Canis lupus familiaris: one gene and its partners. The protein of the gene in region 1 interacts with the protein of each later gene in a pairwise test. Links are inferred from orthologs where the notes say so. Each region holds a gene or a part of one and is shown in the gene's direction. Other genes may lie near its edges. The genes, in order: ARL3, PDE6D and ARL2BP.

Region 1 (10,247 bases):
GTGTTATGAGGGGCACCTGGGTGGCTCCATTGGTTGAGTGTCTGCCTCTGACTCAGGTCGTGATCCCGGGATCCTGGGATCGAGTCCCACGGCGGGCTCCCTGCTCATGGGGAGCCTGTTTCTCCCTCTCCCTCTGCCCCTCTGCCCTGCTTGTATGCTCGCGCTCTCTCTCTCTCTCTCTCTCTCTCTCAAATAAAATCTTTTTTTAAAAAAAGTGTTAATGAGAAAAGTTATACAATTTAAAAATAATAAAAGATTTCAAAAATATGTCAAGAGATTCCATAGATATAAGGTTCTTAGAGTAGTCAGATTCATTCAGACAGAAAATAGAATTGTGGTTACCAGGTGTTGGAGACAGGGGAGATTGGAAGGGTCATTGTTTAATGGGTGCAGAGGGTCAGTGTTGTAAGTTGAAAAAGGTTCTGTGGATGGCTGGTGGTAATGGTGGCACAACAGTGTGAATGCACTTAGTACTACTGAATTCTACACTTAAATTCTACACTTCTACACTGGTCAAAATGGTAGATATTATATCTATTTTACCAATTTTTAAATAAAGAATTTAAATAAGCATATGTATATATCAAGACAGTCAATTCCCTCAGCTCTAAGTGATTACTTCTAAAAAATAACTTAATCTTCTCACCATGAAATTAATATGTGTAGAAAATACAGAAAGTATAAAAGAAAAAAACCCAATACCGTGAGAAAAACTACTGTTAATATTTTAGGGTGTATTTTTCAGATTTAATAAATATATATCTTTTTTTCATTAAAAAATAACCTATATTTTTTAATCCAGCCTCTTTCCTAAGGCTAAGCAAAAAAAATACAAAGGATAAGGCAACGGTGGTGCTGCCAGTGTGGAAGTTGAAAGACAGATCCTAAGTGGAACAACCCTCCTCCTTTAGACCTCTTTCTTTAGACCTCCTTCCCTGTAGGAAATCCTGAGAAAGCTTGACCTTTGCCCAACTCATTGGGTTTCCTAACTAGAGGACAGCCTTTTTGGTCTTAGTCACTTTAAAGTATTTGAGCATTAGAGGTTTTAGCAAAACCAGAGGGTTTTTTTTAGCATTTTCCATCACTGTACTGTGATACGAGTTTGGTGTCAGGTTTGAATGGCTGTGCTGGTGTGTGTACTTCACAGCTTGGGAGTCTTACTGATCTGCAACTTTTTGCAGAAAAGTCATTTCAATTGCTACCAAATGAGCAATTTTACAGCTTCTGAACAAATTTAATGTATAGCCTAAGGAGGAGCAAATTACAGTAGTCTAGCCTAGAAGGGCTAAAAACACATATTACTGTGTCAGGATTTCTGCCAGAAAAAGAAAAGTCTAGGATTTTTTTTCTTTTTAATTGAGTATTAGCAGTAGGCTGTATCTCTTAAGAGTATCACTAAAATGAGAACGGCCAGCACTGTGAACATGGAAATGAACTCTTAAGTTATGGGTTCAAAGTTCCAATTCTAACTTTCAGGCGTTATTTGATGTATTATAGGTGACTTTGTCATTATATGATGTGAAGGTTTCATGTTTATTTTATTTTAAATTTCTTTATTTGTGGGAATCCCTGGGTGGTTTAGCGGTTTGGCGCCTGCCTTCAGCTCAGAGCGTGATCCTGGAGACCTGGGATTGAGTCCCGCGTTGGGCTCCCTGCCTGGAGCCTGCTTCTCCCTCTGCCTGTCTCTGCCTCTTTCTCTCTGTCTCTCATGAATAAATAAATAAAATATTTAAAAAATAAATAAAATAAAATAAAATAAAATTTCTTTATTTGAAAGAGAGAGAAAACATGCATGTACATGAACCGGGGTGGGGGGGTGGGCAGAGTGAGAGAATCTCAGACTCCCAACTAAGTGCAGAGTCAAATAGGAGGCTGGATCTCATGACCCTGAGATCATGACCCGAGCCAAAATCAAAAGTCCAAAGCTTAACCAACTGAGCCACCCAGGTGCCCCCCTTTTTTGGTTATTTTTAAGTAACTGGGTGTGGAGCTCAACGTGGGGCTTAAACTCACAGCCCTGAGATCAAGACCTGAGCTGGGATCAAGAGTTATGTGCTTAATTCACTGAGCCACCCAGGTACCCCCATACTTACTCTTTAAAAACAAGCTTTCAGGGCAGCCCAGGTGGCTCAGCACCGCCTTCAGCCCAGGGTGTGATCCTGGAGACCCGGGATCGAGTCCCGTGTCAGGCTCCCTGCATGGAGCCTGCTTCTCCCTCTGCCTGTGTGTCTCTCTCTCTCTGTGTGTCTCTCATGAATAAATAAATAAATAAAATCTTTAAAAAAAAAAAACAAGCTTTCAGGGTGCCTGGCTGACTTAATCAGAAGAACATGTGACTCTTGATCTCAGGGTTGTTAAGTTTGACCCCCACATTGGGTGTAGAGATTATTTTAAAATAAAATCTTTTAGGGATCCCTGGGTGGCACAGCAGTTTGGCGCCTGCCTTTGGCCCAGGGCGCGATCCTGGAGACCTGGGATCAAATCCCACGTCGGGCTCCCAGTGCATGGAGCCTGCTTTACCCTCTGCCTATGTCTCTGCCTCTCTCTCTCTGTGTGTGACTATCATAAATAAATAAAAATTCGGGATCCCTGGGTGGCGCAGCGGTTTGGCGCCTGCCTTTGGCCCAGGGCGCGATCCTGGAGACCCAGGATCGAATCCCACATCGGGCTCCCGGTGCATGGAGCCTGCTTCTCCCTCTGCCTATGTCTCTGCCACTCTCTCTCTCTCTCTCTCTCTCTCTCTCTGTGACTATCATAAATAAATAAAAATTAAAAAAAACATTTAAAAAAATATAAATAAATAAATAAATAAAAATTTAAAAATAAAATAAATAAATAAAATAAAATCTTTTAAAAATTAAAAAAAAAAAAAACAACCAAGCTTTGCATTTTTGTTTTATATTAGAAAAAGTAGCTGAGTGAAGTAAGTCAGTCGGAGAAGGACAAACATTATATGTTCTCATTCATTTGGGGAATATAAATAATAGTGAAAGGGAATATAAGGGAAGGGAGAAGAAATGTGTGGGAAATATCAGAAAGGGAGACACAACGTAAAGACTGCTAACTCTGGGAAACGAACTAGGGGTGGTAGAAGGGGAGGAGGGCGGGGGGGTGAGAGTGAATGGGTGACGGGCACTGGGGGTTATTCTGTATGTTGGTAAATTGAACACCAATAAAAAATAAATTAAAAAAAAAGAAAAAGTAATAGGTGCTCATTATAGTAAATTTGTAAAACATTTGTAAAATTGCAAAACTAGAAATCACCTATAGTGCCCAGACATAACCACTGTTAAAAATTTTTTTTACCACTGTTAACATTTAAGAATGTATCCATTTTTTTCTATGTATGTACGTGATGGGTTTATTTAAAGATTCCATTTATTTAAGATTTTATTTATTTTAGAGAAAGAGAATATGAGTGGAGGCTGAGGGAGAGGGAGGGGAAAGAATCTCAAGCAGACTCTGCACTGAGCACAGAGCCTGACGTGGAACTGAATCTCATGATCCTGAGATGATGACCTGAGCCAAAACCAAGATTTGGATGCCTAACCAACTGAGCCACCTAGGCGTCCCTTAAAGATTTTATTTTTAATTAATCTCTACACCCAACATGGGGCTCATACTTATAACCCTGAGATCAAGAGTTGCATGCTCTGCTGCAACTAAGCCAGCCAGGCACCCTTATGATGCATATATTTAAAATAAAAATGACTAAAAAATTAATTAATTAATTAATTAAATTAAAATGACTCAAAGAATATATCATATCATCATTTTCACTGAATAATACATCTTGAACATCTTTCTACTGTTATATATGTAAATACATATTTACATTTCTAAATGTTTGCACCCATTATTATTTCCTTAGAATAATTTCTTATATTTGTTGGTCTTAATAGATTTCTTTTCTTTTGATGACTTTTAGAATTTTAAGGCAGTTGATACATATAGTCAAATTCTAGGAGCTACTCTTATTTATCTTCTGCTTCACTCCATAAAGATTTGACATTACTGGCTTTGACATTTAATGTTGTAGTTAAGTGTACAATTCTTAAGCGCACAAAAGTGGTTTTGTCAGTGAGTCAGAATGAAGCTGCCGTTTACAATAAACTTAAGCCACTTCCCTTTGGAGTTCTTAAACTTCTAATTTATTCAGTTGTGACATCTTACAGGAGCTATAGTCAGCATCATCCCCAGGTATTCCCTAGTGCCCATTTATCCTCAGTGGAAATTGGGTGGCAGTGCTCTGTACTGTCACATTGTGCCTTGTCCTTCTGCACTAGGCAGTAGTGTTGGCAAGCTGCCAGGTGAGGCACATATTTATGGAGACATCCCCAGGCCCACTTCCCTCCAGCTATCCTGGATGAAACGTCACTTTTGTGGTAGCAATCTATTGATTGGATTTTTCAAGTCTTGATTTCACTATATCATTCTCAGAAAAATATTTCTTTTTTAATTATTGCTCACGAAATGCCTTTTCTCCAAACCCCAGAGGTCTTGTTAATTTGTTTCTCTGCACACCAACTCCCAGCTCCACCTGCCCCTGATTTGTGCACCTTTCCCAGAGTTCCACCTTGAGTCACTGTCCTGAGAAATGAATACTTTCAAGTTCATCAGAGATGCTTACGAAAGAACAGTTTCCAATGCCTTCTTGTTTATTTTCATCACTGCTTATAACTGAGGGCCCCCCAAAAAAAATAAAAATAAAAAAAATAAAAAAATAAAAAACTGAGGGCCCCACTTCAGAGTTTGAACATGCTGTTCTAGCAGGCCATCCCTTCCTCATTGGGCTAATAGTCCATTTATAAACCAGCTTCTCCCATAGTGTCCTAACTTCAGCTCCTTTTTCCTGAGTTGATCCATATGAAGAAATTTCTTAAAGAATCCTATCTTCCAGTAGCTCTTGCCTCTTTTTAAACTCAGGATTTGTTCTGTTCTGTTGAATCTGCAGATTCAGCTTCTGTTTTTTTGTTAGTTAAATGTAATGTTCTATTAAATGTTATCATCTTGATTATTAGAACTCATTCCAAGTTGTCCTCAGCAGTTTTGTGTGTGTGTGTGTGCGTGCACACGTGCATGTGTGTACACTTACTAGAGAAATTGTCATGTTAATATTAACAGTGACTCCAAACCTGAAGTAAGCCTATAAAAACCCATTTCTTTCTTCCGTATCATAGCAGACAATTTTCAATATTACCAGTATCACATCTGGCAGAGTACCTCATAATTAATAAATAACACAGCTGTTAAATATAACTGTCAGAACTATGATCTAAAGCTTAATAAAGCTTCATGTTTTGCCTCTCTTTCAGGGTTTTAACATCAAAAGTGTACAATCTCAAGGTTTTAAACTGAATGTATGGGACATTGGTGGACAGAGAAAAATCAGACCATACTGGAGAAATTATTTTGAAAATACTGATATTCTCGTAAGTACTCCTTCTAATGCACTAATTCATAATATGTTCTGCATTGTGTTAGGAAATATTAACTGTAATGTTCTTTCTTGTCAGTAATTCCACTACTATAAGTCACTATGAATTTAGGGCTAGCAGAAGGCTGCAGATTATGAGAAACATTTTTGTATGGTTTGTATAAGAATTTTGCTTTTGCTCAGTGACAATGTTGTGCCCACACTCACCTTGGCAAAATAAAGTATTTATTAATTTAACATAGTGATCTGAATATCAGAAGGGAAATCAGAAGATAGTGCCACTAACTCCATTATCCCAAGGAAATCAACAAGAGTATCCCAAAGAGCCAATCAAGAGGGTGGAAGTCCTGGAAATAATGATGCATATGAAATGGCTGAACAATAGATGTTCTTCCCCCTTTTTTTTAAAAGATTTTTGTATTTATTTGAGAGAGAGCACACAAGCAGAGTGAGGGGCAGAGGGAGAAGGAGAAGCAGACTCCCTACCGAGCAAGGAGCCTAACATGGGACTTGATCCAGGATCCATGGGATCATGGCCCGAACCAAAGGCAGCTACTTAACCAACTGAGAATATCCCCAGATATTTTTCCTAGAAAAGAAACTTGGAACTATTTTCAGTTGCTTCAAGAGCCATCTTGAGCAAGAGAGTTCTCTGCCTCATCATGAAGAGTTCTAGAAGACTGGGTGAGGAGCGATTTGGGGAATATTAAGTGGTAGAGTTTAGCTCAGAGTAAGGAAGAAGTCTCCTATCGTTTTAACTGTCCAAAAGTAGAAGCAGGGCAGCCCCAGTGGTGCAGCGGTTTAGCGCTGCCTGCAGCCCGGGGTGTGATTCTGGAGACCTGGGATCGAGTCCCATATTGGGTTCCCTGCATGGAGCCTGCTTCTCCCTCTGCCTGTGTCTGCCTCTGTGTGTGTGTATGTGTCTCTATGAATAAATAAATAAAATCTTTAAAAAAAAAAAAAAAAGTAGAAGCAGCTGTCTTGTTCATTGGGGATTCCCTGGCTCAGGCTGCATTTGTTCAGGAAGGGACTAAGATCTTAACTCTCAGCTCACTGTCACATTCTGTGACATTCTGTAGTACTGCTGTTTCAGAATTCTTGAAGATTTCACTATCCACATACTTGATTTCTCCAACACCACAGCCTCTCAGTTCATTCACCTTCACTCCAGTGATTTTGTCATTCCCCTTACCTTAGTTACTCACTGTCATGATCATAGCCTAAAACCAGGGGGTCTCATGAACTTGGATAGTAAAAAAAACCTGTATGCTATTTTCATTAAACCCTAATGGAAACTCTGCATTTACTACAATTCTATCCATAGAGAAGGAACTGCCATAAGGTCAGCCATGTTGGTGACTTCCATTACCACTAGACACCATCTTGCATCTCTCAAATAACTTTGCTCTCTGCTTTTGCTTCCTATGTGTCTTTCAACTAGATCATTCTGTCGGCATGCACACAGCCTGTGGCAACTCTTTTTTAGAAACAAACAAAAAAAAACTCTTGTCCTGGCTGTGTATCCCATCCAGATACTGTCCTATTCCTCAGTTTCTCTTTAAAACAAAAAGAGTTTTCTGAGCTCTCTCCTCACTTCCTCCTCCCATTCTCTCTTGAACCCTCCATTCAGGCTCCCCAGGAATTCCCCATTGCTAAGGTTTTCCATCTTCCTCTTACTTGACCTAGCTGCACAGTTAATAAAGTCAGTCATGGGGTCCCTGGGTGGATCAGTGGTTGAGCACCTGCCTTTGGCCCTGGGCGTGACCCTGGAGTCCCGGGATCCAGTCCCACATCAGGCTCCCTGCATGGAGCCTTCTCCCTCCGCCTGTGTCTCTGCCTCTCTCTTTGTCTCTCATGAATAAATAAATAAAATATATTTTTTTAAAGTCAGTCATAGGGATGCCTTGGTGGCTCAGCGGTTGAGTGCCTCCCTTTGGCCCAGGGCGTGACCCTGGAGTCCAAGGATCGAGTCCCACGTCAGGCTCCCTGCATGGAGCCTGCTTCTCCCTTGGCCTGTGTCTCTGCCTCTCTCTCTTTCTGTGTCTCTCATGAATAAATAAATAAAATCTTAAAAAAAAATAAAAATAAAAAAATAAAATAAAAGTCAGTCATACTGTCATTGAAACATTATCTTCCCATTTTCCAGAATACCATTCTGTCTTGGATTTTCCTCGTATCTCACTGGCCACTCTTCCTCAATCTCCATTGCTATTTTCCCCCCTTGTTACCCTCCAAGTGTTGGAGTGCTCCAGAGTTCAGGCCTGTTCTTTGCTTCTCTAAGTTGTAGCGTAGGTGACCTCATCCAATTTCAAGGCGTTAATTACTACCTACATGCTGGTGAATCCCAACCTATTATATTCAACCAGAAACTCTCCCCTGAACCTCAGTTTTATATATAGCCAACTACCTATTTTACATCTCTACTTTAGTGGCTAGTAAGTCCCTTCATCCTCAGTATGTCCAGAACCAAATTCCTATCTTCATCCCTCCCAAAACCTGCTGCTTCTACAGTCTCCTCAGTAAACAACAGCTCCATTCATCTAAAAGCATTGGAGTCATCCTTGGCTCCTTTCCTTCTCACTCCCCACCTCTGACCTATGCCAATCTTGTGAGTTCTACCTTCAGAATATTTTTAGAATCTGACCACTACTTTCTAGCCCACTGCTACTGTGCATTGATTATTGCCATGTCATCCCCACTAGTCTCCTTGCTTTTGCCTTTCCTCCCGAAAATCTCTTCTCAAAGGTATATCCATAGGGATCCTGTCCCATCTCAGAATAAAGCTAGAGTTCTTACAATAGCTTACAAGGCCCCCTGCCTTCTGGCTTGGCTTATCTGTCTTGTCTTCCCCCTTCTAACTTGGTGCCAGCCGTACTGGCCTGCTTTCTGTCCCTACAACACAGCCATATTCCCACCTCAGGGCCTTGGTCATTACTATTTGCAGTGTTAAGATTCTTAGATATCCTTAGCTATCCTCACGGCTTATTCTCTACCTTCTTCAGTCTCTGCTCACGTGTCACTTTATGCCACTGAGACCTTCTCTGATTGCTATATTTAAAATTGTGGCTCCTATCCCTACCTTTCTGGCACTGTAATTTTTCTCTGCTTTTTTTTTTTTTTTTTTTTCTTTGATCAGACCTGTTGGTACCCATCACCATCAGAAATATTTTTATGGGCAGCCTGGGTGGCTCAGCGGTTTAGCGCCTCCTTCGGCCCAGGGTGTGATCCTGGAGACCCGGGATTGAGTCCCACATCGGGCTCCCTGCATGGAGCCTGCTTCTCCCTCTCCCTGTGTCTCTGCTTCTCTCTTTCTCTCTGTGTCTCTCATGAATAAATAAATAAAATCTTTAAAAAATTCATTAAAAAAATATATTTTTATTTATTACGCTTCTCCCCATTGGAATGTAGTGTCCACAAAGATAGGGACTTTGCTTCCCCTGCCCTGCCCCAAGTGTTGTATCCCCAGTGCTTAGAAAAGGGCCAAGTGAAATGAACAAAAATTTATAAGATACAGTTCATTAGAATTTAAAACTTCTGCTCTGAGAAAGACACTGTTAAGAAAATAAACCCACAGACTGGGGAAGATATTTGCAAAAACACATCAGATAAAGTACTCATATCTAAAATATACAAAGAGGGGCACCTGGGTGGCTCAGTTGGTTAAGTGTCCGACTCTTGATTTTGGCTCAGGTCATGATTTCAGGGTTATGAGATCAAGTCCCTTGTTGGGTTCCATTGGGCATAGAACTTGCTTAAGATTCTCTCTGTCTCCTTCTCTGCCCTCCCCACCCTCTAAAACACACACACACACACACACACACACAGCTCAACAATAAGAAAACAAACAACCCAATTAAAAATGGGCAAAAGACACCTCACCAGTGAAGATACAGAGATAAGTATATGAAAAGTGCGTAACATCTTAGGAAACAGAAAATTAATGAAATGAAATTCCACTACGTACCTACCAGAATGGTTAAAATCCAAAATGCTGACAAAGAGGAAAAACAACAGGAACTCCTATTCATTGCCAGCGGGAACGCAAAATGGTACAACCACTTTGGAAGACAGTTTGCATTTTCTTACAAAGCCAAGTATAATCTTACCAAACTATGTGATCCAGCAATCACTCTTCGAGGAGTCTACCCAATTAGATGACAACTTACGTCCACACAAAATTCTGTACATGATTATTTATAGCAGCTTTATTCATAATACCAAAAATTGGAAGCAACTGAGTTGTCTTGCAGTAGATGAATGAATAAACAAATTGTGTACATCTATATAATATTATTTCTTGCTAATAAGAAATGAACAAAAATTTTTAAATGAGCTATTCAGCCCCAAAAAGACATGGAGGAGACTTAAATGTGTATGGCTAAGTGAAAGTCAGTCTGAAAAAGGATACGTACTCTCTGTTTCCAACTATATGACATTTTGAAAAAGGCAAACTATAGAACTTAGTAAAAATCTCTACAAGTAAAAAATTAGTGGTTGCCAGAACTCCCAGGGGAGAGTAGAGGGATAGATGAATAAGTGACATATAGAGGATTTTTAGAGTGACAGAACTATTCTGTATGAAACTATAAGGTGGATACATGTTAATATGGGTCAGTCAAAACCATAGAACTTTAAAATACAAAGAATGAACCTAATGTATTGGTTCAATACTGGTTCACGAATTGTGAGAAATGCATCACACTAATGCAAGATAATAATGCAAGTTACTAGGGGAGACTGGGGGAGGGAATGGAGGTGGGATAGGTATATAGAACTATCCAATTATTTTGTAAATAAAAAACTGCTTAAA
Region 2 (10,898 bases), on another chromosome or scaffold:
AAAATAAAATAAAATAAAATAAAATAAAATAAAATAAGCAAGATGAGCAGCCCGGGTGGCTCAGCAGTTTAGGGCCTGATCCTGGAGACCCGGGATCCAGTCTCATGTCAGGCTCCCTGCATGGAACCTGCTTCTCCCTCTGCCTGTGTCTCTGCCTGTGTGTGTGTGTGTGTGTGTGTGTGTGTGTGTGTGTGTGTCATGAATAAATAAATAAATAAAATCTTTTAAAAAAATAAAAAATAAAATAAGCAAGAGATGGGCTGAGCCAACAATGGCTCTGTGAGCAAAATGACATATGTGAGGTTGCATCTAGTACTTAGCAACTTTCCTGGAAGATGGCTAAGAAATGCTACACAGCTGAACACTTAAGCTGGTTCCTTTAAAGTATACATCACAGACTTTCCGGTCTTAAAGACAAGGAAAATAGCCCTATTTGCCTTTGGTGAATTAGAGTGCAGAAATCAGACAGATGCAAAGGAGCCTAGCACCAACCCACTGATTTATGCAAAAATGTCTTGTTCTAATTTCTATGTTCTGGTAGATTATATAAAGAGAAGACAAGGTTCTTGCCCTCAAAAAGCTTCAGTGTGGGGGCGCCTGGCTGGGTCAGTTGGTAGAGCATGCAACTCTCAATCACCAGTCCTGAGTTCAAACCCCATGTTGCGCAAGAAGCTTACTTTAAAAAAAAGAAGAAGAAGAAGAAGAAGAAGAAGAAGAAGAAGAAGAAGAAGAAGAAGAAGAAGAAGAAGAAGAAGAAGAAGAAGAGAAAAGCTTCAATATGTTAAGTGCTATGAGAAAGATATGACAATACTTTAGAAGCATAGAAGAGAGTATGTTGGGGAAAAGAAAACAGGCATCTTCCAGGCAAAAAGGGAAGAAAAGGTGGCTGACCATAGTCACAGAGGCTTGCCCTGTGTAGCATATACTAATGCAGAAAAGAAACCCAGAGTGTCTGGAATACAAGGCTCAGGTTTGAGAAATGAGGGCTACAGACCTGGAGTCAGGTCATCAAGGGTGCTATAAACCACACGCACGGCACTATACGCAGTAAATATCTTAATACTGCAGAGTCCCTACCTGGGATTAGCCCACAGCCCTGGAGAGAGACAAACCTGTCTGGCTATAACAGCCAGTTGCCATAGGCACCCTAGAACTACAGATTAAGGCTCTTCTCCTGCCTGTGCTCTGGAGAAAGGTGATTTAAAGCAGGGTTCTGGAGACGAGGCTTGAGTTGAACATGGAAGAATGAGCAAGCAAATCACAAAAAGTATAAGCCATGTAAAGGAGTTATTATTTTATCTTGAGGGTGCTGGGGGGTGGCAGAACTTAGGGCTTTTAACCTGTGGAGAAGTGTGAATAATTGCCACTTTAGAATGCTCACACTAGCTGCTATAAGAATGGATTGGATATGGAGAGAGCTGGAAGCAGGGAAACTCTTGAGGTGATTGATATAGTACAGAAAAGAGATTGTGAGATCCTGAACAAAGACAGTGGCAGTTGGGCATGAAACAGAAGGGACGTGGTGGGAGGCATTTAGACTATGGAATGTGTCCGATGTGCTGACCAGCTGAATGCAGGGATAGGGAAGAAGGGTATCACCCAAGACTCTGGCTATTCACTCAGAGGTGATGTTTCTAAGTAAATGGGGCTGCAGAGGAAAAAAAGCAAATTTGCGGTAATAGGAAGATAATTAAGTTCTGTTTGAGTTCATAAATATTCTAGCAGTACTTCCACTTCTTCCAGAATAATGTCCAGACTCCAGGGCTGCAGAGAAATCCCTTCTCAGTATGCTTCCCTCCAACCTTTCCAGCTTTGGCTCGTCCCACCCTCTTACAGCCAAAACCCTAGGCCTTCCTATGCCCAACACAACCTCCACCTTCCCTCTCTGACACCAGGGCCTATGCTCAAGCTTGCTCTCCATCCTTTTTTGCAATGCTCTTCCCTCCTATTTTTGCCTGTTAAAATCCTACCAACCCTGTAGGCAGAGATTTCTTAAACTCAATGCACAAAAGCACTAATCATAAAAGAAAACACTGAGCTACTACACTACATTATAATTTAGAATTTCTGATTATCAAATGACACCAATGCGAGACTGAAGAGGCAAGCCACAGAGCTGGAAAAGATATTCCTGAAGCCTGTATCAAAGAACTCCATATCCAAACTTCATAAAGAACTACAAATCAGTATGAATAAGTAGACAAAAAGCCCAATTTAAAAAGTAGGGAAAAGACTTGAACAAGCACTTTACAAAAGAAAACACTGAAATAATTAAAAATCATATGAAAAGTGCTCAACATCAGAGACAATGCAAGAAAAGACTGTAATAAGATACCACATTTATAGCCAAAAGAGCTAAAGTTAGAAAGACCTCTAAGACCCTGGTTGGTTTTTTTTTTAAGATTTTATTTATTTATTCATGAGAGACAGAGAGAAAGAGAGGCAGAGACAGGCAGAGGGAGAAGCAGGCTTCATGCAGGAAGCCTGACTGGGACTCAATCCTAGGTCTCCAGGATCATGCCCTGGGCTGAAGGCGGTGCTAAACCACTGAGCCACCCGGGCTGCCCAAAGAACCTGTTTTGACAAGGATAAGAGTCAACTAGAATTTTCTTACGTTGCAGGTGAAAGGGAAAATGATACAAACACTTTGGAAAACTGACATACTGTTGCTGATCATATGCATACTGTACAAGCCAGCCATTCCTCTCCTAGAAATAAGTGCAGTCTACAAAAAGAAACCTATAAGAATGCGCATTGCAGCTTTAACAAAAGCCAAAAACTGTTAACTGATAACATAAATACCCATCAATAGAACAGATAAATATTGCTAGATACACACAATAGAATACTAGTCAGTAATTAAAAAAAAAAAAAGCTGCTACATACAACATGGATGAATCTCACAAAAAAAAAAAAAAAAAAAACACACAACTGATGAAGAAAAAAAGCCAGGCTCCTACTGTACATACTGTATGATTACATTTAAATGAAATTCACAACAAAACTGATTTATGGTAATAGAAGTCAGAATAGTTATCGGGATGGGAGGATGCAGTGCTGATTGGGAAGGGGCACAGGGGTGCCAGAAATGTTCTATATTTTGATTTGGGGGGTGGTGACACAGATGTATACAAATGTCAAAACTGTGCCCTTCCTGCATGTCATACCTCATGAACAAAAAAATTTTAAGATAAAGTTTTTTTAACAGGAAAAAAAAAAATCCACCCATCGTTCAAATTCAAATGCCACCTCCTCCATCAAGTTTTGCCAGCTGGATCTGATCTTTCCATCAGAACCTCTGTAGCATTCTGATGACCTTTCCTTTATGACATTTATTGCAGTTCATCTTGAATCTCAGCAGAGTCTCCTTTTTTTCCTAACTAGATGGTTATCTTCCTGGAGGCAGTGACAATGCCTTTTCACCCTTTACCGGAAACCTGAAAAGGCTCTTTGTTGAATTACATGGAAGGAAAAATTGGGTGGGTGCCCAGATGGGTGAAAGGGGGACGGGAAGAGGAAGGAAGGCCTCGGAAAAGAGATAGGAGATGTCCAAGGAAACCTTAGCTTACGCTACAATTTTACCTAGTTCCTGAAATCACATTAAATGTCACCTTGAGCAACAAATAACAAATCAAAACACTAAGTCCTTCCTAGACTGAAGATAAACAAACATCACACTCCTTCACTTACAGGAAATCCACCAAAATGAATGCTTACCTAACCTCTGGGTGTTTCAACCTGGATGAGGATACTTCACTAAGGAAAATAATAATCACACAGCCATGCTGCTAAAAATATCGCCACCTCAGTGTGGTGTAAACAGCCCAAACTGAGGGTCAGGAGACTTAGAGCCGAATTCTAACTCTGTCCCAAGTTGCTGTAACCAGTGGACGATCGCTTCGCCTCTCTGGGGCCTCAGTTTCCTCGTATGTAAAACAACAGAGGGTGGTTTGGCAAATTCTCTTAATATCCCTTCCGGTAGGGAGAGTCTGAGTATACGATCCATATCTCTCCCAGCCCAACGCAGGAGCACACCAGAAACCCCTGCAAAACAAGTAAAAGGCGCCCCAGACCAACAAACAAGCACGATTTAAAGGAGTCATTTTATCTTCCGTGGTTTAATCAAGTGTTTTTGTTTGTTGTTTGCAGCCTTACCATGATTTGCAGGAGATTTCTGAGTTCCATGTAAACAGATGTTACCTCCCTGTGGGCTGTCATCCTCTTCTGAGAGTTAAGGGGGTCTTCCCGCCCAGTTTCAAGTCTCCGAATTCAGAAACCCCCAAGGCTGAGGGAAGGTTTACGAATTTGCGCACACTGCGCGGCACACTGGAGTCTAAGTTACAGAGGAACAGGGTGCAGGGAATGCTGGGATTTGTAGTCCCCGGGCCTCTTTGTTGCGTGATGGGATCTGTGGTTCCCCCGGGCACTCCCCCGGAATGCTGGGAAATGTAGTCTCTCTCACATCGCACAGGGCAACCCGCCGTCATTTCAGCGCCCTAGTGTGCCCCGCGGAGGGAGCGGGCCCCTCGAGCCTCTGCAGATCTGAAGCCAACCCTCCGCTGGGGCAAACTCTAGGCAACAAGACCTAAAGAAAAATTTGTCCTACGGGACTTCCCGGGGAGGGCCCTTCCCACTGACGCTCGTCGTCCCCCGGCGAAGCCGCTGAATGTTTCTATTGGCTGCTCGGGATGCCAATCGGCGAGGAGGGCTTTCCATTGGCTTTGGGGCGGGCGCTCCGAGGCTAGGGGGAAGGAGAAGGGATCAGGAGCGGGAGCTGAGGGGAGGGAGAGGCCGGTCCGGGTCTGGCCGCTGCCGCTGCTCGCTGGAGGTCTCCAGGCCGCGCTGCGGCTCCGTCCTCGGTTCCTGGGCACCGTCTGCGAGGCTCCGCCGGGCCAGCGTGGGAGAGCCGCGGGCGGCGGCCGCCGCATCATGTCAGCCAAGGACGAGAGGGCCAGGGAGATCCTGAAGGGCTTCAAACTGTATCCGCCCGGGAGTGGGGCGGGGCGGGGCCGGGAGGACTTGGGGGGCGGCCGCTGGCGGAGGAGACGGGCCGGGGGCGGGGGCCGCGCCTGCTGGGCTCGGGACGGGAGCGCGGCGGGAGGGGACGGAGGGGACCGAGGGAACGGCGTCCCGGTCCCCCCGGCGGGACCGGGTACTGGAGGCGGGGCAGGGGGCGTCCTGAGGGAGGAAGGAGACGTTGCCGGGAGCCGGGGGCTGGAGTGGAGGAGCCCCTGTCCGAATTGGGCTGGGAGACGCGGCGGGCGTCGGAAACGCGTGGCGGTGAGGCCGGCTTGGGTCCGAGCCTCGGCCCGCGCCCGGAGGCCAGAAGGGGGGCTGCGGCCCGCAGGGAGGGCCGAGGGGCGCGGGGGGCTGGCCTCGCAGCCCTGCAGCCCGTTTGGCGGGAAGGCCCCGGGGGAGCAGGGAAAAGTGACTCGGAGCGAGTGACCTTGGGTGGGACAAATGCAAATGCTTGTGCTGAACTCTCCCGGGTTCCCCCGTCCCCCCCTCTACGCCACCCCCTCCTTGTTTCCACAACTTCTCTGCCTCACTTGTGGCTCCTTCCAGGGCTGGAGCAGAGAGGAAGGTGGGCCAAGAGAAGCCCGGGATCCACCTCATCTTAACACTCTCTTGGCCTTGTGAGGCACTGGATGGTGGCAGCTTCTCTCTCAGCCTTTCACTTTTCTGTCCAGCGAAGTGAGGACCCTGCACTCGAGCGTGAGATGCCTTGAGGTGTTTTGGTTTTGCACCGGGACTCCTGGCAAAGGTATCTGCGCGCTTGCGTTTGTGAGGTTCACGCGGAGACCAGGTGGAGCTGTCCAGCAATTATTTGATTACTTTGGGGACACGGTAGGATTTAGCAGGATCTAGAAATCATTGCCCCAGGCCTGGCCTGTTGTGGTGCCGCTTGTGCAACCTTCTTTCTCTCTTTAACGTATTAGGAAGCCTCGTGTTTAAATGGAGTGTCTGTCTGTGACCATAGGATGCGGATGAAAAATAGGCAAACCTGGACATTCCAATTTCACATTTTCCTGCTGAGCTTAAATCTCTTTTTACATCCCGTGCGTACAAAATGGAACGTTCTCAAATTCTTCTCTCCGTGAAGTTGTAGTCATCACTTTAGGTCTCCCCCCACCCCCCCAAAGGAGATTTAGTGAAGCACTGTTCTCTGAGCTGCCTTTGTGTTTTCACGATGCCCATTTCACCGCTGGAAATTTTAATTGCTTTTCACAGTCAGAAAGCAAGTTGGTAGTAAATTTTAGAACCCAAAATGCAACAACAACAACAACAACAAAAAAGTTACAGGACATTTTAGATATACAAATGAAAAGTTTCAAATGGAAGCTGATCTGCTATGCTTCTTTTGAAAAAAAACGGAAGGCATTATACACTAGGCATAAGGTCATTCGTGGTAAAGTTTAGTAAAAGCCTCTTTTTATAGCTTCGTGTACCTTTCGGTGTCTTTTTTCATAATGGCACCTATAAGTAAATAGGGATGGCTGAAGTCTTAGAAAAGCTGTGACATGGATTTTATTTTTCCCCTAAGTAATTTGTATTGTTAGTTACATGTATACTGTAGATAGTAAAATCAGAGACTGGGGAATTGAGAGATTTCAGAAGCAACGTTTTTGGTCCAATTGGAATTAACATACTGCTGAAAACAAGAAAGAATCTTTTTAATGGTTTTCAAACAAAGAAACTTCTTACCTCAGTCTGGGCTCTTGAAGCTGTTGAGAAAGAGGTTAAGGGACACATGTGGAAAAGAGTAGAAATCATCATCAGGTGAATTAACCAGTTCAATGATGACGTTAGTGTATTAAGAAACAGGCTTTCAGAGAAGGTTTGACCTGAGCTGATTAAATCTCAAGGGAAGCAGCCGCATAAAAAAGTTAGCATGGGAGCAAGAGGATGCTCATCCTCTGGTAGCCTTTATTGACATCTGAGGATTAAGAGAGAAAGGAAAGGAGTTCTAGAATTTGCTACTACCTTCAGGAAAACACAATCTTTTAGTAAAACAAACTGCTTATTGTCCACCTTTTTTATTGGGTGAATTGTTTTTCTGAACTTTCATTGAATCTGTTTCTGTAAGAGTTTTTTTCTACCAAAAGAAAGCACCATTAGAGTCTCCTACCAGCGATGTTGACAGTGCTCAGTTCCACATTGACTCTGTCTTTTATATTTTTGCCAATTTAGACAAGTGATACCTTATTTTAATTTGTATTTCCCTGGATATCTAGATCCCTGGACAGGTAATAGAGCATAGTGGTTAAGAAGAATTCTGGACTGTAGAGCTGTTCTGTGTTGGAATCCCAGCCCTACACTCTTGGTTGTCCCTGAGCAACTCATTTAACCTCAGCCTCAATTTCCTCATCTGTAAATGGGGTTAAAAATAGTACTTATCTCATAGGGTTGTTACGAAGATTGAATGAGTTGATAGCTGAAGCATTTAGAAAAGCACCTGATGCCTAGTAAACATTATATATTAGCTCTTATTATTGTTAGAGAAGTTGCAAAATCTTCTGTTTGGCAGTTCCTTTTCTGTGAATCACTTGTTGATTTTGTTTTTTGCCCATTTTACTATTGAATTTTTTACTTACTGGTTTGTGTGTGTGCCTTAATATCATTTGCCTGTTCTGTATGTTGCAAATATTTTCCATCAATATATTGTTCATCTCCTTTTTAGTTGAACAAATTTTATTTATTTATTTATTTATTTATTTATTTATTTATTTATTTATTTTTAAGGATGTTATATTGAGAGAGAGCATGAGCATGAGGGAAGGCCAGAGGGAGAGGGACTTCATCCCAGGACTCTGAAGACAGATGCTTAACTGACTGAGTCACCCAGGCCACCCTGTTGAACAAATTTTAAATTATCATTTCAAATTCATCAGCATTTTCCATATGGCTTCTGCATTTTGTGTCTTAAAGATTTATTTCTTTTTTTGAGAGAGAGAGGGCACATGGGCATGCACATTCTCCACACACACATGGAATCAGGTGGAGGGGCAGAGAGAGAGAGGGAGAGGGAGAGAATCTCAAGCAGACTGGCTGATGCAAAGCACAAGATGGAGCTCAGTACCACCTTGAGATCATGACCTTAGCCAAAATCAAGAGTCCCCGATGCTAAAGCAACTGAGCCACCCAGGTACTCCTGTATTTTGTGTCTTAAGAAGACCTTCCTGACCTTGGGCAAGTCACTCAACTCCCTTTCCATCCATTTCTTTAATATTCAAATGGATAAAAATCATAGTATCTACTACATAGGTTTGCAATACAGATTAAATGAATTGTTATAACTAAATAAAACTAGACCTTCCTTATCCTAAAATTAAATATTCTATGTTTTCATTTCCACCTGAAATGTTTTTACACAAATGATATGTGGTAGAAATCTAACTTCTTGTGCTGTTTTAAAATGGTATTTGGGGCAGCCCTGGTGGCTTAACTGTTTAGCGCTGCCTTCAGCCCAAGGCGTGATCCTGGAGACTGGAGATCCAGTCCCACATCAGGCTCCTTGCATGGGGCCTGCTTCCCCCTCTGCCTGTGTCTGTGCGCCCCACCCCCCCCCCCGCCCATCTCTCTCCCCATCTCTAATAAATACATAAAATCTTTTTAAAAATAAAATAAAATGGTATTTATTTTTTCTGTTACATACTCTAGCCACCCAGAAATGACCTTTAAAAAGTCTTATTTATTCATGAGAGACACAGAGAGAGAGGCAGAGACACAGGCAGAGGGAGAAGCAGGCTCCATGCAGGGAGCCCGATGTGGGACTCAATCCCGAAACTCCGAGATCACGCACTGAGCTGAAGGCAAATGCTTAACCACTGAGCCACCCAGGCGTCCCACCTTTTTGATTTTTTTTAATGTAGTCTTCCAGTGTAGCTAATGTATTTGCTTTTATAAAAATTAAATCATAAGCATTATTTCTTAACTTATTTTTTCACTTAATAATAAGTTTACCATATTCATAATTTCCAAAGATAATTACTTTTCATTGCTTTCCATGACATAGATTTGTCACAGTCCTCTTACACAGTGTTCTAGTGTAGTCTGTATAATGCACTGTTTTGCCTATTCAAACTGCTCTTCCTCACCACAAATATAGTTGACGCTTGAACAAAACTGGTTTACATACAGGTCCACTGACAAGAATTTTTTCAGTAACTACAGTATAGAGTATGGTTTTACAGTATTGTAAATATGTTTTCTCTCATGATTTTCTTAATAACATTTTTCTTCCAACTTATTTTATTGTAAGAATCTGGTACATAGGGCAGCCCGGGTGGCTCAGCAGTTTAGCACAGCCTTCAGCCCAGGGTGTGATCTTGGAGACCCGGGATGGAGTCCCACATCGGGCTCCTTGCATGGGGCCTGCTTCTCCCTCTGCCTGTGTCTCTGCGTCTCTCTCTCTCTCTCTCTCTCTCTCATGAATAAATAGGTAAAATCTTTAAAAAAAAAAAAAGAATATGGTACATAATACATATATAAAATACAGGTTAATTGACTTTATATTAGTAAGTCTAGTCATCAATGGGTTATTAGTAAATAAGTTTTGGAGAAGTAAAAAATTAGACATTGATTTTCAACTGTGAGAATAGTTTTAATATATACATATTTATAGCTATATACAGCTTTATTAATATCAAGAAACTGCAGGCTACCATAAGAAAAACTATGCTTTTATAATTTTATTATTTTACTCCATCTGGGATTTGCTTGAGTCTAAGGTATGAAGTAGTGATTTAACTTTTTCTCTGATGATTAGCTAATTGCCCCTATTTACTTATACTGCAGAAGTTAATATAATATCTAGAAAATAAATGACTGCCTACAGGGGCCCCTGACTGGCTCAGTTGGTAGAACATGTGGCTCTTAATCTCAGGGTTGTGAGTTCGAGCCCCATGTTGAGTGTAGAGATTTCTTAAAATCTTTAAGGAGCGCCTGGATGACTTAGTCAGTTAAGCATCAACTCTTGATTTTGGCTCAGGTCTTGATCTCAGAGTCATGAGATAAAGCTCCATGTCTGCTTAAGATTCTGCCTGCCCTGCCTCTCTCTCTCTCTCTCTCTCTCTCTCTCAAATAAATAAGTAAAACCTTTTAAAAATAAAAATAGGGATCCCTGGGTGGCGCAGCGGTTTGGCACCTGCCTTTGGCCCAGGGCACGATCTTGGAGACCCGGGATCGAATCCCACGTCGGGCTCTCAGTGCATGAAGCCTGCTTCTCCCTCTGCCTATGTCTCTGCCTCTCTCTCTCTCTCTCTCTCTCTCTCTTTCTGTGACTATCATAAATAAATAAAAATTTAAAATAAATAAATAAATAAAAATAAAAATAAATGACTGCCTACAAATCCATAAAATAAACGTTTGACTCAAAATGGACAAAGGATATGAACAAAGAGTTCACAGAAGAAAACTACAAATAGCCAATGAATAAACTTAAGAGATATTCAACCTTAAAAAAAAAAATAAAAAAAAAAAAAAAAAAAAAAAAAAAAAAAAAAGAGATATTCAACCTTAATAGACTCTTTTTTTTCCCAATTAATTGACAAAAATTTTAAAGGTTGATAATAGGGGTCCCTGGTTGGCTAAGTCAGTAGAACATGTGACTCTTGATTTGAGGTTGTGAATTCCAGCTCCAAATGAGGCTTGAGCCTACTATAAATAATCAATAAAAATCGATTGATAACATTCAGTATTGGCAGCTGTTTGGGGGAAAGGGACACTTCACTTGCTGTGTGTGAATAGGTTTTATGGAGAAAGTTTATGTATAACTGCAGCAGAGCATAGAGCAGTAGTTAAGAGTGCAGTGGTTAAAAGTATGGACTCTGGGTTCGAACTTAGTGCCTCTACCATTGTTATCCTGGACAGAACATTCAAACTCTAAACCTCAGTGG
Region 3 (10,709 bases), on another chromosome or scaffold:
ACAGGCAGAGGGAGAAGCAGGCTCCATGCAGGGAGCCTGACGTGGGACTCGATCCTGGGATTCCGGGATCAGACCCTGGGCTGAAGGCGGCGCTAAACTGCTGAGCCACCCAGGCTGCCCAGATAGTCCATTTTTTATTCATTCACTTAAAACAATTGTTTTTAATATTTTATTTGAGAGAGAAATAGTGTCAAGAGTACGAAGAGGGAGAGGAGCAGAGGGAAAGGGACAAGCAAACTCTGCACTGAGCGTGGAGCTTGACAGGGGTGCTCCATCTCAGGACCCTGAGATCATGACCTGAGCCAAAATCAAGAGTTGGGTAGTTCACCAACTGAACCACCCAGGCCAGATCATAATCTCATTGGTTGTGGGATCAAGCCCCCTACCTGGCTACTCCCTCACCTGGGAGTCTGCTCGATTCTCTACCCCCCAAAATAAGTCTTAAATTGTTTTTTTTTTTTAAGATTTTATTTATTCATGAGAGACACAGAAAGAGAGGTAGAGACACAGAGGAAGGAGAAGCAAGCTCCAGGCAAGGAGCCCAACGTGGAACCCAATCCTGGGAATCCAGGTTCAGGCCCTGAGCCAAAGGCAGCCACTCAACCACTGAGCCACCCAGGCATCCCTTAAAATTTTTTTTAATGCTTACCCACAAAGGATTTAAGAAATGACTATTGGGACGCTTGGATGGCTCAGTGGTTGAGCGTCTGCCTTCGGCTCAGGGCATGATCCTGGGTCCAGAGATTGAGTCCCACATTGGGCTCCCTGTGAGAGGCCTGCTTGTCCCTCTGTCTGTCTCTGCCTCTATGTCTCTCATGAATAGATAAATAAAATCTTTTAAAAAAAAGAAATTATTAATGTAAAACATAATATATTCAAGTGAGTCTTAAATTTTTTCTTTAAAGGCCACCATTCTGTTTTAGCAGAAAAACATGTTCTGATTTCTAGGAGTATTGTTTGACAGCTCAGGGATTGGAGCCATATATAGCATGACAGTTAAACATACCTTGGGAGTAAGCCTGGACCCAGTTCCAGCTCAATGATGCCACTTATCACCCATTTGCAAGTACTTCTAAGCCTTTGTTTCTTAATCTATAAGATAATAACTTTAGGAGTTGTTTCTTTTTTTTCTCATAGAGTTTCAAGTATTTCAAAAAGAGACCATGTATATAAATATATGCTTAGCACAGTAACTGGCACATGCCTGAGTAAATGGGTACCTATTATTATCTTTGTGCCCATTTGTTCTTCAAGCCAGACATGGTAGGGCACCTGGGTGGCTCCATCGGTTAAGCGGCTGATTTTGGCTAAGGTCATGGTCTCAGGATCCTGGGATCCAGCCCCATGTTGGGCTCCCTGCTCAGCAAAGAGTCTGCTTGTCCCTCTCCCTCTGCCTCAGCCCTTCCCCCGTTTGTGCTCTGTCTCTCAAATAAATAAAATCTTAAAACAAGACAAAACTCAGAAATGGTAAAGTGGAATTAGCCACAAATTCTTTGACATCTTTCCCATCTACAGATGAAGTTTAAGCCCCCTCTCCTAAAATCTGGATGGACTTCATGTCTATTTGACTAATAGAAGTCAGTGGAAGTGACACTGTGCCAGTTTCCAGTCCCTAAGTGGCTGGCAATTTCCAATTCCTGTCTCTTGAAATATTTGTTTTTGGACCCAGCCACCATGGTGTGAGAAAACTCAACCATCTCTGGGAAGACTTAAATGGAGAGAAACTGAAGACACCCCCCCCCCCCACTCCCTGCCAACCAGTAGTCCTCTGACCAACATCCACAGCTGAGCTCCCAGGCAAGAGCCAACAATGATTTGCCAGACATGTGAGTGAGCATGCTGGAAGAGGCTCCTCTAGCCCCATTCCAGCTGCCCCAACTGATGCCAAGTAGAACAGAGACTGTCACTACCAAGTCCTGCCCAAATTGCAGATTGCTAAGCACAATAATTGTTGTGTTGTCACTAAATTTTTGGGTAGTTTGTAATAGCAATAGATATCCAGAACAGCTGAAATCATTTCCTACTCCACTCTGATTGCATATGATTCAGAAGTAGAAAAATGGTGAGCACGTTCATTTAGTCCAGAAGAAATAAGTGGTTTATAGAGAAAATAGGTCATGAGGAAATGCTGAGTTTGCTTTGAGCTGCAAAACCATCACTTGCCTTAAATATAACTCAGTCTAGTTAATCAGCAAACCTTTATAGATACCTGTCTTCTATTTGGTGCTAAATATAATAGCTCTGAGATCTGATCTCATTCACTCTGGATACAACTCTCTTGGTAACCATTTTTAGTTCCAGATCCCACTGTTTGTTTTTTAAGATTTTATTTATTCATGAGAGACACAGAGCAAGAGACAGGAGCAAGAAAGAGCAAGAGGGAGGAGCAGGCTCCATGCAGGGAGCCCGAAGTGGGACTTGATCCCGGGTCTCCAGGATCACGCCCTGGGCTGAAGGCGGCACTAAACCGCTGAGCCACCCGGGCTGCCCCCAGATTCCACTGTTAACTATTTTTTAAAATGTTATTTGAGAGGGCAGTCCTGGTGGCTCAGCGGGCGTGATCCTGGAGACCCGGGATCAAGTCCCACGTCGGGCTCCCTGCATGGAGCCTGCTCCTCCCTCTGCCTGTGTCTCTGCCTCTCTCTATGTGTCTCTCATGAATGAATAAATTAAATCTTTAAAAAATAAATGTTATTTGAGAGAGTGAGACAGCAAGCATGAGTGAGCGAGGGAGGGGCAGAAGGGGAGAGAGAGGGACAAGTAGACTCTTGTTTGGTGGGGGAGGGCTCAATCCCATGGCCTGGAGATCACCATCTGAGCCAAAACCACAGTGGGATACCAAACCCATTGAGCCACCCAGGTACCCCTCACTGAGATCTATTTCATGTCCATTCAAAATGTCAATTCACTCAGGCTGGCCATCTTGACCCTCAGATCAAACCTTCACTGCAGACACGTACCACACATTTGGCCCAAGGGTATAACACAACCAAAGACACATAAGGCCTCATGGTCCAATCCTGAGAAATCAGCTCCAGGCACCTGGGTGGCTCAGGGGCCGAGGGTTTGCCTTTGGCTCAGGTCGTGATCCTGGGGTCCGGGGTCGAGTCCTGCCTCAGGCTCCCCTCAGAGAGCCTGCTTCTCCCTCTACCTGTCTATGCTTCTGCGTCTCTCGTGAATAAAATCTTTAATAAACAAAGAGAAATCAGCTCTCGGGAATCCTTTTGCAAAATTTGAGTTTGGGAGGGGAGTTTTCCTGGAACACAATTATCCCATTTCTGATTACATTGGTTCAGTGATTGTCAACTTTTATTGCGCCTAATTAGCCAAGAAACTAATAACTGCTTGCCGAATAATGTTTATGATATGAATATTATCTTTATGATGTAAATTCCACAAAAGGTTGCAACTGTCTTGTAAGAGGTCTGCATTATTAGATTCAAAAGCTAAGGGATTGGCACTCAAGAAATCTGCAGTTTACAGTGCTCTTACAACCCACTTTAATCTTTTTAAAAGATTTAGAGAGCGAGCAAGCACGGGGGGCCGGCGTTAGGGCGGCGGGAGATGGAGAGAGAATCTCCGGCGGACGCCACGCTGAGCGCGGAGCGCACGCAGGCCTGGGTCTCCATCCCGGGAACACGGCCTGGGCGGAAATCCAGAGTCCCACCCTAGGCCACTGAGCCTCCCAGGCGCCCCCTATTTAATCTTCTTAAATCCTGTAATTTATCCCCAAGTTGCAAGCGAAACTGCGGTCCTCAGCTTCCATTCCTTCCTCGTTAAGAGGGGACGACGCGAGAGTTAACCGCCACCAACCCAGAGGACGCTCCGGGAACAGGCGGCCGCTGAGGCTCAAGGCCTGCCCCCCGCGCCTCTCTCCGTTTCCTCACTTCCGCTCCCCACTTTGCCCCGCCCCCGGCGTCGGGCAGCGCGCGCCTGTGATTGGCTCTCGGGAAGCGCGAGGCGGCGGAAGCGGTTGTGGTGGCCATGGTGACGGGAGGCGGGGCGCGGCGCCGGGCTGTGGGTAACTGACGCCCGGACCCCGCGGCGAGTGCGGCGGGCGCCGAGAGGCCTGGCCGGGCGCGGGGGCCCGGGCGGCTCGTGGCCGCCGCCGGGGAGCCTGAGGCCTGAGGCCCGGGCCGTGAGCGGCCGCGGCGTCGGCGGCGAGGCCTCCCGGATGCGGGCTGGGGCTCTACGGAGCAGAGCGGAGGCTGGGCCCGGGCCGCGGGCGGGGTAAGGCCGACGGGCGCGCTCGCCCCGCGGGTGGATGCGGCGGCGGCGGCGGCGGCGATGGACGCCCTAGAGGAAGAGAGCTTCGCGCTGTCGTTGTGAGTGACGCCGCCCGGCGCTGCCGGCGCTCGCCCGGGCCTCCGCCCCGTGCAGTGGGGGTGTCCGGGAGGGCCGGGAGCGGGGTGAGGGGCCGCCGCCGACCGCGCGGCTGCAGCGGCCTCCCTGCTGAGGCCTGGAGGCCGCGGGGGGGGGGGGGGAGGGGAGAGAGCGACGGTGGTGAAGCTCCGACCCTCCGTCGTCAGCAGAGCCCGGCGGCCTTGAGCTGCCGAGGCCGAGCACGGGGCGGAGGACCCGCCACCACCTCGGGGACTCCCGGGCCTGTCGCCCTCCGCCAGTGTGTCGCTGGCGCCGGGCCCGCGCTCGCAGGCCGCTCGGTGTGCGCTGATGGCGACACCCGGGGGGCGGGCGGGCCGTCGCTCCCTTTACCTGCCCCTGTCGTAGTTCCTCGTGTCAGGACAGGTTTTCCGAAAGTGGAGACATTCATTGAGCTTCGATGTCACCAACGTGTCAAACGTATCGCCCTGTTTGGAATCGCTCCCTTAGACGATCATCATTCTTAGTGGTTGAAGCTGGGTGATGGGAAGTTCGTTTTGCGGTTTCTTTTTTAGGCATGTTTAAAATGTCCTTGATATATTTTTTAAGCGGATTCTTTGAAACAGCACCTAATGGCGGTATATATTTTTCAGCTCTTCTGCCTCTGATGCAGAATTCGACGCTGTGGTTGGATATTTAGAGGACATCATCATGGGTAAGCTTCCTTGAGCCGCGGTCTAACCTGTGCCCTCTGTAGTTCTTACCCCCTTGCAGTTTGGAGTTCATTTTGAGAGAAAACAGCAAGCTGCGAATCAGTTTCAACGTAGCACAGAGTAATATGGAGCCTTGCTGTGATTTTTGAGGCAAACATCCCCCACTGCTTCAACAGTAACCATGGATTTAGGTCCTAGAAGGGATTTACGGAGGGGATGGGGCCCTAGACGTTAGGAAGCTCTTGGCACAGCCTACCTTATTTCAGAGTAAGAGGAATTCCATTTTTCAGTTTTGAGCTTTAACGTTTTCATCACATAAACCACAGCCCAATACCATAGTCATAGCACACATGTCCATGAAGAAAATAAAGCGCCATAGTTCAGCTGGTTCTGGTTCTGTATTTTCCTGGGTTCTGAGGCTTGCTTTGTGCATTAACTTGGGTGCACACAGGCCTGCTAATAAGCAGTGACAGGCACCCAAGGTTTAAGACAAATACGTGGGGGAGAAAAACTTTGAGAAAATTCAGAGTTTTCTTCAAATTAGGCAAAAAAGGACTGCGTTAGTTTAGTGGTCCTAGCAGTGTTTCTCAGTCTAGTTTAGTCTGAAAATGACTGACCCAAGCTTTTATATTTTCAGGTCCCAAAAAGGTTCACACTTTAAATATTTCACCAGTAAGCCCTTGTCCTCTGTGACTCTGACGGTTTCTGGGAGAATCCCAAGGAATACTTCTGAGTTCTTTTGCCCTTTTGGGCACCCTGTGCCATGGGAAAAGGACCCTTTTTTAAGCTCAGGGTATTTATCCTAAAGTCTGGGTCATTTGTGAAGCTTTCCTTTTACTTTCAGAAGTAATATTCTCTTCACTTGCTAACGTTCCCTGTTCTCTCACATTCAAGTGTTTGCTATAAACTAATCTCTATGCTAGTCCTTATCTGAATTCCACTTGGCAATCCTTTATGATAGGTACTTTGATCATCCTCATTTTCTAGTCGACAAAACTGGGGCTTAGAGATACTAGGAAGTGTGCCAAGGTCACACAATTCAAGTGGCTGAGCTAGGATCAGAGCCCATGTGCTTAATCACTGCACTGTTACAGCTGCTGAAATCATATTATAAGAGAACCCATTCCTTTGTGGAAAAGGCATGTGAAGGAGCTCCCAAGCCACCCTGAATTGGGTGTCTTTAAAATGGACCAAAGAATGGTGGTCATGGTTGCATAACAATGGGGATGTACTTAATGCCACCAAACCACACTCAAAAATAGTTAAAATGGTGAATTTTTTGTGAGGTATATGTTACCACATTTTTAAAAATACTAATACTTATTATTAATAAAAAGACTGGATCGGGCTTTTTGAACACTGGTATCCTATTGAACACTTCCTTAAAGCATCTTTAGCTTTCCCTCTCCTAGATCCTGGCCATTGAGAAAGCACTTGTGCTGGCAGAGAATTCCTGCCTGTTTATAAATCAGAATGGTTTTTAGTTTCCAATAAAAAGCGTAACATTTTCTTACTGTGGTTCAGATGACGAGTTCCAGTTACTACAGAGGAATTTCATGGACAAGTACTATCAGGAGTTTGAAGACACAGAAGAGAATAAACTCACCTACACGCCTATTTTTAATGAATATGTAAGTGGTTTTGTTTCCCTCCCCCTGAGATTAGTAGGAGTTCTTTAAAATGTGAGTTGAAAACCAAAAGATGTTGACATATGCTGGACTTTGAGAAGCTGCCACCTGTCAGGAATTGTTTAGAATCCGGTTTAGTTCTCATCTGTTGCTTTTCCTCCGCAGCATTTGGTGGCTTTCATCCAACTTGTTTTTTGTTTTTTTTGTTTTTTTAGATTTTATTTATTTACTTATGAGAGACACGGGGAGAGAGGCAGAGACACAGGCACAGGGAGAAGCAGGCTCCATGCAGGGAGCCCGACACAGGACTCCGGGTCTCCAGGATCACGCCCTGGGCTGCAGGTGGCGCTAAACCGCTGCGCCACCAGGGCTGCCCCATCCAACTTACTTTAAAAAAGAAGTTTGGCTTGATCATACTCCTGTCTTCAGTTAGAACATATGGGTTCACTGTACCTTGCATTGATATGCTTTTGACCTTTGGACTTGGGACACACACTACAGCTGACCCTTAAACACTATGGGGACTTGGGGTGCCGATGCCCCTGTGGTCAAAAATCCCCATATAACTTTCTGACTTCTCAAAAACATAACTACTTGTAGCCTGTTGACTGGAAGCCTTACCAATAACAAATTGTTGATAAACACGTATTTTGTATAGGTATTCTATACTGTATTAAAGGAAACTGGAGAAAAGAAAATGTTACTAAAATCATAAAGAGAAATTACAGTTAAAGTACTGTATTATATTTATAAAACAAAGACAAAAAACCCATGTCTGTGTGGAGACACACAGTTCAGACCCTCTCTATTAAGCATCAACTGTGTTTTTTGCTACAACACATCCAGTCAGACATGGCATGACTGTTAGGTGGAAGTGAAAACCAAGACCAAGATCATTAATCAGTTGGTGGGGAGACCACGACCAGAACCCAGGAGTCTCAACTCTGGACCCTTGCTGAGGCCTGGAGTTACCCTCTTGGTACGATATCCTCTGTCTGAGCAAAGGTTGAGTCTCCGGGATTTTCTTAGCCTTAGAAGCATGACATCCTGGATGGTTTCCTCCAGCCAAGCCTCAACATATATAGAACCTGTGATTACCTCCAGCAGTATGCCTCTTTGCCCCCCCCCCCCCTTTTTTTTTAAAGATCTTTTTTTTTTTTTTTTAAAGATTTTATTTATTTATTCATGATAGTCACAGAGAGAGAGAGAGAGAGGCAGAGACACAGGCAGAGGGAGAAGCAGGCTCCATGCACCGGGAGCCCGACGTGGGATTCGATCCCGGGCCTCCAGGATCGCGCCCTGGGCCAAAGGCAGGCGCCAAACCGCTGCGCCACCCAGGGATCCCTTTTTATTTATTCATGAGAGAGGCAGAGACACAGGCAGAGGGAGAAGCAGGCTCCCCACAGGGAGCCTGATGCGGAACTCCATCCCAGGAACCCAAAAACCGAGGATCACGACCTGAGCCAAAGGCAGACGCTCAGCCACTGAGCCACTCAGGCACCCCTGTCCGTTCTTTTTTAATAGATTCCATCTGCCCAAGGAAAAAGGCTCCATTTACTTCATTACTCACTTCCTACCACGGGGAGTTGGGAGCCCTGGTGTCCGCTGCCTCCACCTATCTCAGCACCTTCCCCTTCCCCATGTGAGCCAGGGCACGTGCTCAGTGAGGACAAGCGCCCTATTTGGGTTCTTTAGTTTCCCCAGCGCTCACCATGGAGCCTGGCACATAGAATAGGCTCTTAGGAAGTGTTTGCAAAGGCCTAGAGCCCAGACTTCTCTGAAAAGCAGCCTTGTTTTCCTAAAACCACGATCCCTTCCACTGTTGCAGATTTCTTTGGTAGAAAAGTATATTGAAGAACAGCTGCTGGAGCGGATTCCTGGGTTTAACATGGCGGCTTTCACAACAACTTTACAGTGAGTTGCGCTTAACTCTGCACTTGTATCTTTTTTCACCTTCCTCCTCCTTCACTCTGAAAAAAAGGCCCTCTTTTTAATTTTTTTTATTTTTGCTCCAGTGCATGAACATGAACGGTGGCAGCACTCAGTGGTTGGGTCCTGGGTGGGAGGCCCTCACAACCCTCTAGTGGGATCTTGAAGAGACAGAGTCTGTTTTAGCCTGTTGTGAAAAGGCCATCCTTTTCCTCCACAGGCACCATAAAGATGAAGTGGCAGGCGACATATTTGACATGCTGCTCACGTTTACAGATTTCCTGGCTTTTAAAGAAATGTTTCTGGACTACAGAGCAGTAAGTCACTCTTGCTCACTTTGTTAGCCACATCAAAGCACTAAGGAAATGTCAAGTAGAAACTTGGTTTCTCCCCACCACTGGCTGGCTATCAGTCTGGCAGCTAACCAGGTGTCAGAAGAGCAAGCTACTGTCCTCCAAGCAGGACCCAGCACCCTTACTGAGGGACTATATTGTCGTGTTTTGTTGTAACAAGTCCCAGGTACCTCTTACAGACCATAAATAATCAAAAGGACAAAACTGAAAAGCAGGTCTAATTACCTTGCCTCTCTTCTAATGCAGGCTCTTCATAGGAAAAAATCTATTTCTGTGAAAAGAGGTGACACTTTTTAAAGAATGACTGGGGCAGCGCTGAACCAGAATGCAAAATAACCTCCTTCCCCCTCCTGTGTGCTCCTCTGTGGCCACCCTCTCAGCCTGAGCACCTCCTCCCCCATGCCAGAGGCAGAATTCTGACCTAGAAAAGGACTTTTATTTTTCCCCTATTCCTTGCCTCTTAGGATTATTTCTTTTCTAACCCAGGAAAAAGAAGGTCGGGGACTGGACTTAAGCAGTGGTTTAGTGGTGACTTCATTGTGCAAATCATCTTCTGTGCCAGCTTCCCAGAATGACCTGCGGCCCTAGGTCCCACCACCAGGCAATGGGATCTTTCTGGACGTTGCCAGCCCAATAGACTGGAAGAGGCTCTGGCTAATGTGACAATACCCATTGGAAAGACTGACTCTGTTTTACAACTCATTAATGTTAAGTATTGATGGGTCAGAAGACAATCCACTGACCCTACAGAGACCCTGAAGCACCTTCTCGTGTTCGGTAATCCTACCACTCCTCCCCGAGCAGACCCCCTGCCTCAGGCCTCTGCGTCAGGCCCTTCTGGAGCAAGCCCAAGGCGGGCATCACACCGGGGCCTCTTTCCCTGATATACATGCTGGTAGGTCAGAAGCATTTGGAAGAACCCATCCTCTCCGGCCCACTTTGGCTCAGCAGGCTCTGCATGTCCATCAGGCTCTTGTGTGCTCACAGCCTTCTGTATGCATCGTTTCATCAGACCTGCAGCCTCAAAAGGGGGTTCTTCCTGTTGGGGAACATTTCCCTAGGCTGTTAATCAAGCCAGCCGCCTGGCTGAGCTCCCTGCCACATCCCAGCTAGCCTCGGCTCTAGGAATCAGCTGAGGATTCAGTCCTGTACCTGAAGCTCCATGTGAAAATCAGTTTCTTGTCTTTCACTTCGCAGTCCTTGCATCACTGTCTTCTGCTAGTCCTTGATGTAGTCTGTTTCTAGAATCCTCTTAAGCATTTTTTAGAAAAATATTTTTATAGGTAAATACTCAGGCTAACCTAGTGGATATAATCTTGGAGCCTCCATGATTACCCACTTAAAGATCAAAGTATTATATGCTGTGTGCTTTTTAGCTGTTAGTGCTATGAAAGCAAAAAGGCTTTCTTTGTTGGCGTGCCTGGTTTACTGGGCGCCAACGAGTGTGTGCTTATGCTGGAAGTAGGCTAAAAGGTCTCCCTTTCTTACAGCATGTTAAGTGTTTGTACAGGTTTCTGAAATCCCTTTCCATATAAATCATTTTGTTAGGTATTCTGTTGGGGGTAGGGTCTCTGTAGTTGCCTCCTCCTGTCAGAATCTGCCTGCCAAGATGGTGTTCCACTGAGCTAGCTCAGCAGAAGTAGGAGAGCAGACAGCTTCACTGGTCATCTGTAGGCTTTGACGTAGCACAATGTTTCAGAGAAATTACTGACCAGAAAAGACATATCATACCTCTAGAAAGAAAAAGCATAGTGTATTTCAATTCC

Evidence for each region.
Region 2: the proteins of ARL3 (region 1) and PDE6D interact in binary tests that used the Homo sapiens proteins (3 or more experiments, as listed by UniProt). The link is inferred for Canis lupus familiaris from reciprocal best matches to the Homo sapiens genes ARL3 and PDE6D.
Region 3: the proteins of ARL3 (region 1) and ARL2BP interact in binary tests that used the Homo sapiens proteins (3 or more experiments, as listed by UniProt). The link is inferred for Canis lupus familiaris from reciprocal best matches to the Homo sapiens genes ARL3 and ARL2BP.

The regions. Positions count from the first base shown.
Region 1 is NC_049249.1:15,361,311-15,371,557, reverse strand, and holds part of ARL3 (ADP-ribosylation factor-like protein 3), read left to right. Parts: intron 1-5,315; coding exon 5,316-5,432; intron 5,433-10,247. UniProt on the Homo sapiens protein: Small GTP-binding protein which cycles between an inactive GDP-bound and an active GTP-bound form, and the rate of cycling is regulated by guanine nucleotide exchange factors (GEF) and GTPase-activating proteins (GAP).
Region 2 is NC_049246.1:43,813,556-43,824,453, reverse strand, and holds the start of PDE6D (retinal rod rhodopsin-sensitive cGMP 3',5'-cyclic phosphodiesterase subunit delta), read left to right. Parts: upstream 1-4,870; 5' UTR 4,871-4,929; coding exon 4,930-4,979; intron 4,980-10,898. UniProt on the Homo sapiens protein: Promotes the release of prenylated target proteins from cellular membranes. Modulates the activity of prenylated or palmitoylated Ras family members by regulating their subcellular location.
Region 3 is NC_049223.1:58,398,397-58,409,105, reverse strand, and holds the start of ARL2BP (ADP-ribosylation factor-like protein 2-binding protein), read left to right. Parts: upstream 1-4,171; 5' UTR 4,172-4,287; coding exon 4,288-4,325; intron 4,326-4,699; exon of another isoform or gene 4,700-4,863; coding exon of another isoform or gene 4,864-4,895; intron 4,896-4,973; coding exon 4,974-5,035; intron 5,036-6,557; coding exon 6,558-6,664; intron 6,665-8,489; coding exon 8,490-8,575; intron 8,576-8,810; coding exon 8,811-8,907; intron 8,908-9,189; coding exon of another isoform or gene 9,190-9,240; exon of another isoform or gene 9,241-9,384; intron 9,385-9,407; coding exon 9,408-9,518; coding exon of another isoform or gene 9,519-9,531; 3' UTR 9,532-10,709. UniProt on the Homo sapiens protein: Together with ARL2, plays a role in the nuclear translocation, retention and transcriptional activity of STAT3. May play a role as an effector of ARL2.